Oreochromis niloticus: one gene and its partner. The main gene of each other region encodes a partner of the protein of the gene in region 2 in a complex. Links are inferred from orthologs where the notes say so. Each region holds a gene or a part of one and is shown on either strand. Other genes may lie near its edges.

Region 1 (7,197 bases), on a different chromosome or scaffold from region 2:
AGCACAGAAGATACCTTGGACAGACTGTAGCATGCTGCAATTTGCAACTTCATGAACAGCCGGCCACTTCGGATGTGTAGTTCACCAGTCTGAAAGGAATTCACTCTTTTGGGAAATTGAACAAACAGGAGCCTCAGTTAAACTAAGGTTTTTTTTCTTCTTTTTTAATATTAATTTGAATTTAGCATCAAGTCTCCCAAAAGTCTGTTTATGAGCATATATCTTTCCTCTCAGTTTAAAACCTGGCAGGAGGTAGGTCAGTCAGAGACTGAGGGGGAAAATAAGGAACACAAACAAGCCCCAGATATTGCAATATATAAGAAAAGGAATCAAATCAGGAAGCACTTCAAGTGCTGGACAAAGTTTAGAGCAATGGTAGTGGCTGTTCAATGAAAAGCCATGTTGAGAACTGTTTTGATCCCCAAAAATGGGACTTTACAGTATCAGATTACAGATGCCTTTTGTTGCACGATCTTTGAGAAATGAGTCCAATTAAGCATGGTTAAGATTCTTGAACTGTAATTTGTAACAGGAATGACCAGAACCCATTGCTACATTTTTCTTCTTTTTAAAGATGCTGAACTATTACAACAAAACTACAGAACTAAGGTCAGCAAACACGTGGACATTTTTCTTGAGGAGCGCATCTTTGAAAAACAGCCAGCCAAGTGAAGATCTTGAATCAGGGAGATGTTTACTCATGTGTAGCTGAGGATAAGAAGTGGGCACAGAGGTAAAGACACTGCAAGTTCGAACACTGGAGTTTTACAAATATTCCCCTTTCAACCCGCCTGTCTAACAACCCTCCCTCTTTTTGCATAACGGGGTCCTTGCCTTCCTCGCAATTTGAGAACACGTGACATTCGGGGTTTGCTTTAAGTGGTTCTAATGGTTTCCAGCCTCTTTGTCAGAGAGGGGCACAAAAGAAATCTGGCAACCGTTTGGAAAGAGGCATCAAGTTGGGCACAAAACTGAGGGGCATACATGGTGATAGGCTTCACATGTTGGGGCTGTGAAATCTCAATTTACAGTGTTGATGTGTACAGCATCTCAACCTGCCACTTAAAGCAGGTATTCAAAAACTAGAGGGGTGCTGCGCAGAGTTTGTCTATGCCAAGTTACTGAGATGTGCTTTCAATGTTCCTTTAGATTTTGTACAGACAGCCCCAACATAAATGCACCCAAATACCTGAAATACATATTATTGATGCTTACCATAGCTGTCGTATCCATCGCGGTAGGATCCAGATCCTGAACGCTCACCATATCCACCCTGCCCCCTAATACAAACAAGAAACTTGCATTTAGAACGCATTCGAAACAAATTGCATTCAAACAAACTTAAGCTCTGATTATTTACCTGTTTTCCCTGTAGCCGCCTGAGGAATATCCTCCACTCCTGTATCCACTGCCACCAAAGCTCCTGTCTCCACCACCAAAGCTTCTGTCACCATAACTCCTGTCTCCATACCCTCTGTCTCCACCATATCCACCTATTAAAGTCAAATCAGTTTTAATTTCGATATTGTTAGAATAAACCTTTAATTTCAACTTTTTAAAAATATTCCCACGTCGCACCTCGGGAATAACCACGCCCACCTCTCCCTCTGGAGCCGCTAAATCTGCCTCCTCGTGGGCCGGAGCCAAAACCGCCTCTGGAGCGCCCTCCCTTTCCAGCTTCATCCACCCGAATAGCACGTCCATCCAGCGTCTGCAATACAACAGGAAATGTAAGAATGTATAAATAAAATCAAATTAATTATTTAATTTTTTTTTTTTTTTATTTAAATTCGATTATAAATGAAGCAGCATGATTTCTACCTTTCCATTCATGGCGTCCAGCGCGTCTTTAGCGTCCTCTGCATTGTCGTATTTTACGAAGCCAAACCCACGAGATCTTCCGGTTTCTTTGTCTCTGATCACGTCCACTAATCAGAGAGAAATTCCGATTAGGCCACATATTTAGTAAAATATTTATGTATAAAGTCATTTTAATCTATATACACTCAAGAGGAATAAAGAGTTTTAATTACCCTTCTCGATGGTTCCGTATTTGCCGAAGGCCGCAGCCAGGGAGTCCTCGTTGGTCTCGAAGCTCAGACCTCCGATGAATAATTTTCCCTCGTCCGACATTTTTGCTATAGCTACAAAAAAATAAATAAAGGCAATGAAAAAAAAGTCTCTCACAAATCCTTAAAACTAAGACGGGGCTCTTGATCGTCGAAAATCCTCGACACACACGATCGCTAAACAGCCGCAAAGAGAAAGTAGGTCACCGGAGCAGTTTCATAAAATGGCGATCATTGCTTGCGCAGTTATGACCTACATACCTCCCGACGTTTAACAGAGCATTAAATCCGAATTTATCATAAAACTACATCATATTTGACCGATAATCGTTGCTAAAACTCAAAAATGAGTCACACTAGGCCTTGGGCCTGAAAACGTGACGCAGTTTCGTTAGCGGATTAGCTGGCGGTTTTTCTTCCAGCGCCATTTTGTAGCACCACGCTACACGCTTTTGTTTCAATGACCTACTTTGCGCCAGCTCGAGGGGCGGCCAACTGCCTTATTTTTCAGCTTATATAACTGCCCCAATTAATACAGAAAACACAATATATTAACATATTTCTGCAAATTGAAACGATTTACCATTTTAACATCGAAAAAAACCCGATTCTAATACGATCAAATAAAAAAAAAGCGACAAAACGTATGTTAATTTTTTTCAATTAATAGAAAAGGTCAACTTGGATAAAAAAATGCTTTTCATACTTTACAAATACAGATGCACATGAATAAGATTATATTTCACAACCTACACCGTGTAGACACAACACCTAACAAAGAAAAGCATTTACCTTTGTCTCTCACGGAGATTTAAGGGAAGTTGCTGGGAGCTGCGATGGAGGTCGAATGAGGGGGAAGAACGAGCGCGATCCGCTTTTCACTGCAATGCGCACTCACTCCTTCTTCTACTGCTGTTTGGGCGGCAGACCGTTAGAACAGCCGCAAACAGCGCCATCTTTTGTTTAGGGTGACGCAGCATAGTGCTGTTAGGTTGGGCCGCATTTAGATGTCTTTAATTCCTCTTCGTTTTCGGCTGATGCCTTTAGGGGTCGCCACAACGGATTATTTGCCTCCCCCTCACCTTATCTTTAGCATTCTCCACCATTACACAACCTATCTGCATTTCCTCTTTCACGAAGCTCCTCTGTCCTCCTGCCTGGTATCTCAATATTACCCCGCAAAAAACGAGGTCCTCAGAGCCGATCCCTGATGCAATCTCAACCCTCACCGTGAACCCATCAGTCACTTCTGGGCCTTTTCATCTCCAAGTAGTTTCCCCAGCAGCACAGAATAACGTACTCTGATTTGAATAATAATTTGTATCTGATTTGACTTTGCAACCAAAAATATAAATTTAAACTTCAAAGACAGTTTAATGTCTTTGAAGTGGCCTTCAAAGACATTAAACTGAAAGTATGCGTATATTTGTGTCTTAAACAGAAACCAGATTAATAATTAATCCAGAGATGCTTTGTTTTCAAGTACAATAAAATAACAGCGTGCTAGCACAATTACACAAACAATGAGTGTAGTCAGATGAATGCCAGTCATAACTGCAAGTCGCTTTCATATGTTGTTAACGGAGAAAATGATTCAACTGTGTTTATTTTGCAAGCCTCGAGTGCTTTGTTTGCGTGAGTCACGATGGCGGTAAGGTGTGTGGGGCCGAAGTCCTGTTTGTCTGTGTGGGAGGAAGATTTATCTGCACATGGACGTCTAAGCGATGCAGTGTGTTTTAATGGAGTGTGTGGGGGAGGCAAAGAGAGAGAAAAGAACGACTGTGTAGGAGGCTCAAAAACCCATAGCTGTCATCTGCAGCGTTCTTGCAGCGCTTAAAGGAATAGATCAGCGTGCAGGGAAAGGGTTTCATCCTCTTTCTTGTAAATGATCGGATTGATACCGCCAAAACGAATTCATCCGGGCAGGCAGCAGTGTGTAGGCTACACTATCATGGCCGACTGTGCCTGCAGCGCCGAATCTGCAGCACAGGCGGTCTTTAGGATTCAGGACGAGCAGCCGTTGTGCTGTCTGATCTGTGGCGCTGGGCGTGCTGCTGCAGCTGCACACTCAGTGATCACAATCAACAGAGCTGCACCGAAAACAACGCCAGCATTCGTGCTGCAGTACCCAGTTGTGTGCTGATCGTCGTTTGATAGCCGAACGAGAGAGCTTCCACTCGCCTGTTTCTGCTCTCAGCTTGCAGATCACACAGGCTACACCTGAGCAAGGCTTCGTGTTTGTCTGCACGTCAGCAGCGAAAGCAGGCACAGATGTTTCAGCTCATCCCGAACAGTTTCATGTTGTGCCGCTGTGATTTGCATCCTGTGAGCTCAGCTTCAGACGCTGGCTACAGGGAGGCGAATGCTTTAGTTTATGGCATTTTTCACAGAGTACTCATTGGAGTGCCTCTAAAGAGTCATAGCATTAATAATACACATAGTTATCCATGCAAATTCTGGTATCTCAAGCAAGGGATGGTGTCAGGTACAAGGCCAAACTGATCAGCATTAATAATGTTCCAGAGGTTCGACAAGATGTGCCAGGATTCCATGATGAAACTTAAGGGTAGGCATGCAAATTCTGGTATCTCAAGCATCACGTTTTAGACCCTTTGCTTGTCTTTAAAGGCCCACCGAAACAATCTGAAGTGTTCAGCTGTTATCATGGAAGAAGTGTAAAGAATGCTGGTTGGCTGCACATCAGTGCTTCTACTTCCTGTGCTTTTACTGTCGAGGAGAACCAACATTTCATTATATCTTAGATCGTAACGCTCAGCTTTACTGCACCACTTAGATTTTCTTGAAACCTCTGCTCCACTAAGAGAGATGGCAACACCTCTCTGAAACTCATATGGCTCTTAATAATGAAAAGCGACAAAGCACAGAGGTTACAGAGTAACCTAGAAAGCTGCTTCTGTTGATCCAGACTCTGTTTTTTCAGTGGGAGAAACATTTCACCACTCATCCATTCAATGTGCTGACTGCAGGTGTTCCTAGCCTTATGGATGATTGAGCACATAGTATTTGAAAGGATCTAAGCATTTAATATTGAAATAGATCATTCATCTTCACCACATATATATCTCCTGATCATAGATAAAAGATTAGCTGTGACAAACAAACAGAAAGGATGTTTAGTAAAATAAGGCTGAGACATTTTCATCTACAAAACGACGAAGACAACATTATATTCTTCATGTAAAAAGAAAAGGCTCCATTCATAAACGCTTTCAGATTTTTTATTGTTTCCCTTTATTATTTGCATATTTTTTTGCTTCTTTGTATTTCATAAATAAGATATTTTCAAGAAACATTGCTTGCATGGAACGAAACACAGTCTTACATTCAAAACATGTACAATTAAGGCATCAGAGTACATAGAGTAAAACACCAACAGGGAAATCTATGTGACACGTGCTACATACTGCAACAGCCGCAGCTGCCGTCACTGAAGGACAGACTCAGATTACACATCACACAGAGAAAGCCACAACATTTAGACGTATAGTTTCAGATAGTAGAAAAATACTAACAAAGGCTCATTTTTTTATAGCCCTGTACGGCAAGGTCAGCTCTGGTATCTATCATAGTGAGCGGGTCTTTTTACATTCAGAGACTAGGGGTGATGGTGGCGCTTCTGGTACGGATGAGAGCCTTGTGAGATGTGCGAGGTCTTGCGAGCCCTCCTGCGTAGACGCCTCTCGTGCATCAGGAGCTGGAGGTGCTCTAGCTTACAGTGCAGTGTTTGATTCTCCTCTGTGGACGAGTGTATGACGGGACCCTCGTGGCCTACGTCACCTACAGAGAAAGAAATCGATCAGGCACAGAAAACTAAGGTCTCCATGGGTGTTTATGGTGTGCTCTGCCATTAATTACTGCATAAGAAATACACTCAAAAGCCACTTTGTCAGGCTTAATTTGTATGTCTGCTCATTAATGCAAATATCCAATCAGCCAATAACATACAGACATGGTCAAGACGACCTCCCGAAGCTCCGACCCAGAATCTGTTTCTCTGACGCAGTAAAAATACGACCAGTCGAATTTTCTAAAGCTGCAGCTGTCAAATGCTTCGTCTTGTTCTTCCACCTGTCAAAACCCTCAAAGTTAACTACATAGAAGCGATTGACAGACAAGCTGTGAAGCAATTGTTCTGCTTGATTTCCTCATATTTTCAGCTCTAATCCAAACATACAAATCCACAGGAAACCCCGTCAGCACGAGACAGTCGGAGCCTAATAAGGAAGCGTAAACACTCGTGGATGAGCTGTCATTAACACTGCCTGTAAAGACTGTAATAGTCTTTATACTGACGAAGGCCTGCGTAACTGCTGCACAAGTGCTGCGTGACTAAATATGACACAGCAGAGAAACTCGTTTTATTTCAGCTGGGAGGAAACACGAGCGTGTTTTATTCTCTGGGGGCCTCAAACAGTCTCTTTTTTATTGTTTTTGTTTTCATTTCCCTGTCCTGATTTCTAAAATGCACACTATCCCAGGATTTGCATGCATTTACATGCGCGTTATGATGACATGCTCTCCAAGTTTCCAAAATAATATTCGCTTGAACTGACCTGGAGCTCCGCAGAGGGCCTCTGTCCTCTGCATCGCTGGTGGTCTGGGCTCTTCTGCTGTGAGCAGCGGGCTGACTTCAGCGCCTGGAGCAGGACAGCGGTGTAGAGGAAGAGGAACTGGAGCCCCCTGGTGGTGGTAGGCGGCTTTGAGGAGGTCGTTGAGGATCTGGAGAATAATGGCGACACCACGTCGAGGATGACTGAAACCGCTCTGACTGCAAGGGGCCAGGGTGCCTGAGAGGAATAAAGGAGTTATTATTACTTTTTTCTCTCCTTATCCTAAAAAAAGCTATTCAAAAGAGAAAGTTCATTAGATTAGAAAGAGTACCCGTATTGTTGCAACACTAGGAAACATCACTGGTTTATGTTAATCAGACCAAACAAAAACTGCTGAGCAGTCTCCAGAGCAGACGTACCAGAGAAAGTCCCAGAGAAGATGCCAGGTGAGTGTCTCACGAAACTCTCTATGACAGCTCCTGGAGGATTGGGCAGCTGTGCAGTGGATGAAGCATTAGCATTACTCTGTAAGGGACAAATATCCACCTTAAGGAATA
Region 2 (7,909 bases):
GAGGTTGGTAGAGGTTTCGTCCCTCTGCTGTGGAGACAGTTTGGGGTAACATAGAAATATTCACACGATTCCAGATAGAGGCTCACGTGATCATCAGATCATTGACCTTGATCGCACTCTCACACTTACCAGGACCTGGAAAAGCACCATGAGCAGCTGGTTGCTCGCCATGAAGTTGCTGTCGAGGACGCCCAGGTTGAACCAGCTGCCCAGACAGCGAAACACCTTAATAAGCATCTTCTCGTCGTTCCCAGTTTTCTCCACGCAGGTTGTCTGAGGACAAATAAAGTCAGAGTCCTGTTTAAATAAAGATTAGTGACATCATCAGTGACATCCCCAATTTTTGAGTGATAACAGTTTCCGCCACATTATCATTATGGTTGTATTACTAGCCACACCCCTACCTTAATGACAACATGCAGCTAATGTGGCTATCATGTGACAGTTAAACAGCCACTGGCCCGGTGAACAGATACGATCAACATTCAGTGCTGTTCAGACTGAAGCATTACTGAGCTGTCTGACAGGTGAGAGTCAGACAGGTGTCTCACCAGCAAGGTAACCACGGTGCTTGAGTAGTACGCCAGGTCCTCGATGATCTCTGTCCTCCGATTCGCTCCGATTCTAAGTGAGCGGCTGTGAACTTCCTCTGGGAGCACGGTGAGGATCTCTATGAGGAAGGGCATTGAGCTGATGTCATTGTTGTACCTGAGAAGGGGTGGAGACAGAGGAACAGGTGAGTCACTGACCAGCTTCAGAGAAAACATTATGTGAGCCGATTTTGTGAATTCTTACTTTTCTATCAGTGTATGAACACATCCTTTCCAGGACGCCATCTGCAGGGCAAGGTCAGCGATCGCCAAAGCCAGCTGAGGGAAAGGGTGATGAAGGTCTGAGTTACACAAGTAAAAACTCTCACAGACAAACTTTCTGTTTTTAAAACCCTGATGATGTCACTGCAAGTTCAGCTTACTTTTTAAAGTTAAACCCCCACCCTCCGACAAGGTGTGGTAACAACCATACAGATGTATTAAAGCAGATGTTAACCAGCTCAAGCCAACATTAAACATCACAAGTAAGAAATATTTCTCAGGGTGATTCTGTGACAGCACTCATTCCTCTTAACTAAAGCGATAATCAGCTGTTTCCAGGGAAACCCCACTGAGACAACTTTACAGCTGACTCAAGCCAACAACAAAAGGTGAGGATCAGTCAAGAGTCAATGAAGTCCTATTGACTCCGATCAGATGCTGATACCGGCGGAACAGGTGTAGTTACCTGGGTTACAATGATGGGCGACAGGTCCTTGAGGTTTTGGATGTGCGTCAGCAGCGAGTCTCGCAGTGCATTGTGGGTCTCTGGCGGGAGCTCGTAGAAGCTCGTCTGGATCTTCATCTTCATTGTCTGTGCGGCGAAGTAACACGACTCCACGTCCTGCTTGAGCTGCAGCAGCTGGTCTGACACCTCCCAAGCATACATCTGAGGAGGAAGTGATGTCATAGCGAGGGATGGGAGAAGAAAAAAAATCGACACGGCATTACATTATGATATTTTATCTATACAGGGACACCAAACAAAAATAAATAAACTAATTAAAATATGAAGAGGGGGACTTCAGACTAAATTGAAGGAGGCAACTTTATCAGGTAACTGCTGTATTATCTCAAACAGATTGCACATAATTGCCAACTTGACTCCATTCAGTTGCAGACTGACTCATATTATGGCAACATTTATGCAGGTCTTAGTGAAATTTTGGTGAGCTTGGTAAGAAAGCAAATGAAGAGATGATGTTACATTGTTGTATAAAACAGGTACTAACAAAGTTTAACTTTGACAACATAATCTACAGTTTAAAGGTGGTGATTGTGAACATTACTGTAATACTGGCACATTGTAAAATGTTAAAAATCAAATCTTCAGTGAAATATTTTCATAAGATTGAATCGTTGGCTGTCTGCTGATTCTGCTCCTTATCATTAATGCCCATCAGCCACTCAGGAGAACATCTGACCAGAAAAACATCCTCATGTTTCCAGCTAAGTGACACTGCAATGAACCGTTTGATCTGTTGTCCCCAAGAGATCAACCACCTTCTGACTGAACCTGAAGCTCTTCAGGTGTTCTCCTCAGGTCCACCTGAGAGGCTCGAATTAGTTCTCAGGTGACTGAAGGCTGTGAGCTGGGGCTCCACAAACACCCGACTGAGCATGCTCACTGATCAGCTGACTGCTACAGGGGGAAACTTTCACCTGCATAACTTCAGCCCTCACGCACTGTGGCTGCCCTTTTACCCCAGGTCACCTGACTGTGACCATGCTAACATGCTAACAGCTGAATAAAAACAAACAAGCCGGAACCGCAAACAGGAAGTCCAAACACAGGCGGGGAGCGCTTCATTTATTCACCTGCAGCAAGGTGACTCACTCACTCATTCACACACACTCTCTCACACAAACACACACACAGAAAGAAACAAACAGACACACACACGTGCGCAGGCAGGCAAAGTAACATACAGACAGCTAGCAGTTAGCATAGCAGCTAGCTCGGCATGTTTTCCTCCATTCATTTTCTTTAGCTTAGCTGTTATGCTAACGGAAGCGGTGGCTCCTCTGAGACTGCGCACTACATTTCACCTGTGCGTTTTCACACAGGTAAACCCCTGAAATCCGCTTCACACGGATCCCCGAAAACACGAAGCGACCTCCGCCCGCCCGGGCCTCTCCCCCCCGCCCTCTCACCGATCTCTGCAGCTCTCCCAGCCACAGCGAGGCGCGCTCCTTCCCGGCCGGGTCCGGGTCGTGGTACAGGGCCTGGACCGCCTGGTACACCAGCGCCAGGCTCGGTTTGCCGCCCTCCATAGCTCGGGTCAGACACAGGGACGCGGTGAGGCAGACAGCTCGGGGTCCGGGTGCTCGGATCCGGGTTCAGGGTCCTAAACGCTCCGAGAGCCGACCGCCATCTCACAGGCTTTCCGCTGCAACTGCAATCCCGGTCCCACCGGAAACACGGGCACCAAAAGAAGTTCCGCTTTGTCCTCCCGGAAGAAGACTTCTGTGAGAGGGTAATTAAAAAATAAAACGATGAAATAAAATGCAGTATATTAAAATAAAACAAAACAAGGGGCACAATAATAATACGATACAATAAATTACAATGCAGTACAATAAAAAAAATAATTTAAATTTAATGACAACTTATCATAATCATCCATCTTCTGCCTCACACCTGGGTTTGGGTGGTGAGGGCAGTAGCCTGAGCCAAAAAGACCAAACCTCCTTGACCCCAGTCACCTTCAACAGCTTATCCAGGGGGAACACTGAGATGATCCCATTTCAGCTGAGAAATTTTATCTCTGAAGTGAGAGCATCCCTAAAAACAACCCAGGAGGCATCCTAGTCAGGTGCCCAAACTACCTCAACCGGCTCCTTTTAATGTGGAGGAGTAGCAGCTCTACTCTGAGCCCCTCTCAAAAGACTAAACTCCTCACCTTGTCTGTGACAGAGAGGCCAACCACACTTCAGAAGAATCAGAATCAGAATAGGGTTTATTGCCAAATGTTGAGCAGATTGAGCAGCCCTACCACCGGGCCCCCCTAAGCCAACAGAGCTCCATGGATACTTGGGACACAAAAGTCCTCCACTACAGCAAGGCGATTTACGGAGGGGATCCTACACGAAGGAGTACAAATAAAAATAAACAAACATCACAAACATTTACACTTGAAATTTTTGTAATTACTGAATTAACATGCTGAACCTGGATAACGGAGAACCTACACACAGTTAAAATCATCACATTTAACCCCGAGTGTGTGTGTGTGTGCGCGTGCAGTCACACTGTTTCAGATCAAACAAACTTAAATATCAAAGTTAATCTGAGTGAATACAAATACACTTTTGATCATTTCGTTTATTAGGGGAACATGAACAAGTAGCAGGTACAGGCTTAGTTTCATCACTGACATCAATGTTAAAGAGTTCGACCAGTGGCAACATCTGCTCAGCTTCATATCTGATATTAATGAAGCTGTTCAGGCTTGCAGGTTACAGACAGATCAACAACAGCTGATGATGTGAGCTAAAGTTCTTATGACTGACATGTTTCTGATGCTTCCAGATTTATTTTTTTTTGTAACTAAACCAAACCTGATGCAGGCTGTGGCCACTACTCTCAGGTAGACTGACAATCCTTGGGTTCATTTCTCACATTCATCTCCCACTTCCTGTGACCTCTGACCCTGACTAATGATGTTAGTATAAATGAAGCCCTATATGGAAAAGAGATCCTGGATAAAGAGATGCTCAGGGACCTGATGACGTGCTCTGAGCTCTGAGATCTTCATAAAATAATTTTAAAGTCAAATTTAACTGCACTAAAACCCAAAGAAACACGGCTTTAAGTCATCTGTGAACAGAATTTAGGGCATTGATTAATCAATAAGTCATTTTAGTGGGGCATTTTTATTCACAGAAAAAAAACTGAGCTGCTTGGAGTTTGATTCAGTTTCAATAATCAGAAGTTTGGAAGTTAAAAACATTTCTGAAGTTATAATTGTAATAACAGGATAATAAATCTGATGAATAATAGTGTGCCTCAATGCTCCAAAAAGGAATTTTATTAAAAATAATAATTAAACCAAAACAGCTTCTGAGTTTCATTTAAATGTTTGAAGTAAAGTAATGATTCACACAATCAAATGACTTCATTGATCAGCAGGTTCTTTTTTATTTAACAGTCATTAAGGATGAAAATAAATAATACAGTATACATGAACACCTGAGGCCACTGTGACCTTTAGTGTTACAGCACAAACTCACAACAAACAAAAACCTAACATTAAACAGTGAAAGCAGTAGACATAATCTCCGGTCTTCATACCTGAACCACCAGGAGCTTAATCAATAATCCATAGTAGCAAGTAATCAATAGTCAATACATCAATGATTAATCAGTCTGTTAAGGCTGCATGTCACCTCCAAACTGAGGTCGTATCATACCCATGCTCCATGCAGCTCACAGCCTGGTTATGATACAGCCCCCGCTCTAAAGGTCAGCAATCATTGATCAATCGATCGATCAATAAACATTTCTCCTCATCCGTCCGGTCCAGGATGAAAATGGGCAACAGAAGTGGAGATGGAGCAGTTTCTTCTTGTCTGTGACGCTCTCTGGACTCTGAGCAGGAGAAGTGATCAAGATTGGAGGACAGCTCCTTCTTAAAGGCTCGGCGTTCCTCCTCTTCCTCACAGTCTTCCTCACGCTGAACCCCTTTAACCGTTTCAGTGGCCGTGAGTCTTCTAATCTGACTGTGTGACGATGTTTTGAGGATTTGGAGGATTGAGGAGGATCACCTGGTCAGGTAAATCTGAAATATCCGGATTACATAGGAAGTCGGACACACGGAAAAACAAAAGACTCTTATTGGATTTAGATCCGTCAGCCACCTGCTGCTGCTCTTCATCATCAGGAGTCTTCATCGCCCTGCTGCGGGCCTGACAGCAGCTTGTGTTTATTACACTAAAAACTTTGTAAACATATCATGAACAATATTATACAGCAGGGACTTACCTCTGCATGTGTAAGAAGGATTTTTAGAGTTGGCAGCAGAGCAGCAGTCAGCTCTGTTGCCTCACTAAAAGAAGATCCTTGTTTGAATCCACCAGCTGGCCTGGTTCTGTCTGCATGTTCTCCCTGTTCCTCCCTGGGTTCTCTATGGCTTCCTCCTACGTCCACACATCTCTCTGACACTGGTGACCTGTCCAGGTGTCTACTGTGGTAAAAAGTAGCTTCCATCAACTACGCCAAATTTCTAAGGCTATACCCTTTATACCACGCAGAGATCTAGAGAAACTTATTCATGCATTCATCACTTCAAGACTAGATTATTGTAACTCTCTTTACTTGGGCCTCCAATCTTCCCTCCTTCAATGATTGCAGTTGGTCCAAAATGCCGCAGCACGTCTTTTAACCGGCACTAGAAGGTATGATTCCATCACCCCTGTTCTAGCCAACTTACACTGGCTTCCTATCAAATATCAAATCAATTTAAAAATCTTATTGTTTACGTATAAAATCCTGACATTCGCGCATCAGATTCTATTCAATCTTTTAAATCTAAAAACGTACTTGTTTAACCTGGTTTTTAAGGCTAATTAGTGTGGTTTTTATCTGGATCTGCATTTATATTATGTAATTATTTTATATCTGTAATTTATATTTTATATTGTGATTTTATCTGTATCATGGTTTTACTGGAAAGCACTTTGGTGCACTTTGGTCTTTAAATGTTCTATACAAATAAATTTGGTATGACATGATATGATATGATATGATATGATATGATATGATATGATCTGATCTGATATGATATGATATGATATGATATGATATGATATGATCTGATCTGATCTGATCTGATATGAAGTGTACCCCGCCTGTCACCCACCGACCCGCCCACAACCCTCAGCTGGTTGGATGGATGCTGATGTTTCTAGTTATTATGTGTAACCAAACTTAAATAGTACAAATAAATCATTTAGCATAACTAAAGTTTGAATTTCATGTTATTAGCTGTTAATATGATTGCTGTTTTATGTTTAGATCACTAATAATTTAGTTAGTGAAATCAATCATTAAATTAAGTCTGTTTGGTAACATCAACTGACCACAGGGTTCCAGGTTCAGTTCCTCCGAGTTAAAGGGCTAATTCCAGAGCCATTTACTAAAACAATAAATAAATAAATAAATAAAACCAGTCAGAGTTTTATAAAAACAATGTATAGGTGAAAGAAATGAAGACGTGCATGCAACCACGATCACTTTTAAAGCAGGAAGTATGTTTTGAGTTTTCTGAAGTGAACTCGGGTGGATCCGTGTGTTCAAAGAGAAAACCTTCTGTAAGCAGATTAAGGAGTCAGAAGTTCTTAATCCTGAAAGTTTAGAAAAATCCCAGCAGCATAATCTTTGCTGTAAGTGGTTTATGAGCGTATATAAGAGGCTGACACAGCGGCAGCAGCAGAGAGCTCAGGGTCACAATGGGGAAATACTTCCACCTGTACGAGAACATCTCCAAAGTCAGTCCCTTCGAGGGGCCCCAGTATTACCTGGCCCCTACCTGGGCCTTTTACCTGCAGGCTGCCTTTATGGGATTTGTCCTGTTTGCTGGCACACCTTTAAACTTCGTTGTTCTCGTGGCGACGATGAAGTACAAGAAGCTCAGAGTTCCCCTCAACTTCATTCTTGTCAACATCTCCTTCTCTGGCTTCATCTTTGTCACCTTCTCCGTCAGCCAGGTGTTCTTAGCCTCCATGCGAGGTTACTACTTCCTGGGTCACACGCTGTGTGCTCTGGAGGCTGCCGTGGGCGCAATTGCAGGTAAACCACCCGATCCATTGGCAGGATACGTACAGATGTGTGCAGGTGTAATGGTGTGTTTCTCCCTCCTCCTCAGGTCTGGTGACCGCCTGGTCTTTGGCGGTGCTTTCCTTTGAGAGGTACCTGGTCATCTGTAAACCATTCGGAGCCTTTAAGTTTGGCTCAAATCACGCTCTGGCTGCAGTGGCCTTCACTTGGTTCATGGGGGTTGGCTGTGCCTGCCCACCTTTCTTTGGCTGGAGCAGGTACTGTAGGCACCAGGTGATTCTGCCCATGTGTGTGCTGTACAGGTGAACTGATTGTCTGTGTTGGTAGGTACATCCCTGAAGGTCTGGGCTGCTCCTGTGGACCCGACTGGTACACTCACAACGAGGAGTACAACACGACCAGCTACATTTACTTCCTGTTGATCACCTGCTTCATCTTTCCTCTTACCATCATCATTTTCTGCTACTCCCAGCTGCTGGGTGCTCTGAGAGCAGTGAGTCAATCAATCAATCAATCAATCAATCAATCAATCAATCAATCA

What was found.
Region 1: the proteins of tnpo3 (region 2) and cirbpa are in contact, whole or in part, in a crystal structure (PDB 8CMK), measured with the Homo sapiens proteins. The link is inferred for Oreochromis niloticus from reciprocal best matches to the Homo sapiens genes TNPO3 and CIRBP. Residues at the interface, in NP_036602.1 of Homo sapiens: Arg620, Glu660, Arg661, Cys663, Arg664, Arg667, Phe668, Arg671, Ser698, Cys699, Tyr702, Ser705, Ile706, Asp709, Glu710, Asp747, Asp750, Asp751, Arg754, Arg758; in NP_001271.1 of Homo sapiens: Tyr160, Arg161, Ser163, Tyr164, Asp165, Ser166, Tyr167, Ala168.

The regions. Positions count from the first base shown.
Region 1 is NC_031982.2:13,239,556-13,246,752, reverse strand, and holds the start of cirbpa (cold inducible RNA binding protein a), read right to left. Parts: upstream 3,020-7,197; 5' UTR 2,862-3,019; intron 2,145-2,861; 5' UTR 2,134-2,144; coding exon 2,034-2,133; intron 1,929-2,033; coding exon 1,822-1,928; intron 1,712-1,821; coding exon 1,579-1,711; intron 1,494-1,578; coding exon 1,361-1,493; intron 1,281-1,360; coding exon 1,216-1,280; intron 709-1,215; coding exon 695-708; 3' UTR 106-694; coding exon of another isoform or gene 101-105; 3' UTR 90-100; coding exon of another isoform or gene 82-89; 3' UTR 1-81. Other genes in the region: midnolin, read right to left, coding at 5,686-5,867, 6,644-6,877, 7,060-7,165. UniProt on the Homo sapiens protein: Cold-inducible mRNA binding protein that plays a protective role in the genotoxic stress response by stabilizing transcripts of genes involved in cell survival. Acts as a translational activator.
Region 2 is NC_031981.2:23,252,382-23,260,290, forward strand, and holds the start of tnpo3 (transportin-3), read right to left. Parts: upstream 3,022-7,909; 5' UTR 2,865-3,021; coding exon 2,745-2,864; intron 1,480-2,744; coding exon 1,279-1,479; intron 870-1,278; coding exon 796-869; intron 709-795; coding exon 552-708; intron 274-551; coding exon 130-273; intron 28-129; coding exon 1-27. Other genes in the region: opn1sw1 (opsin-1, short-wave-sensitive 1), read left to right, coding at 7,041-7,380, 7,457-7,625, 7,696-7,861. UniProt on the Homo sapiens protein: Importin, which transports target proteins into the nucleus. Specifically mediates the nuclear import of splicing factor serine/arginine (SR) proteins, such as RBM4, SFRS1 and SFRS2, by recognizing phosphorylated SR domains.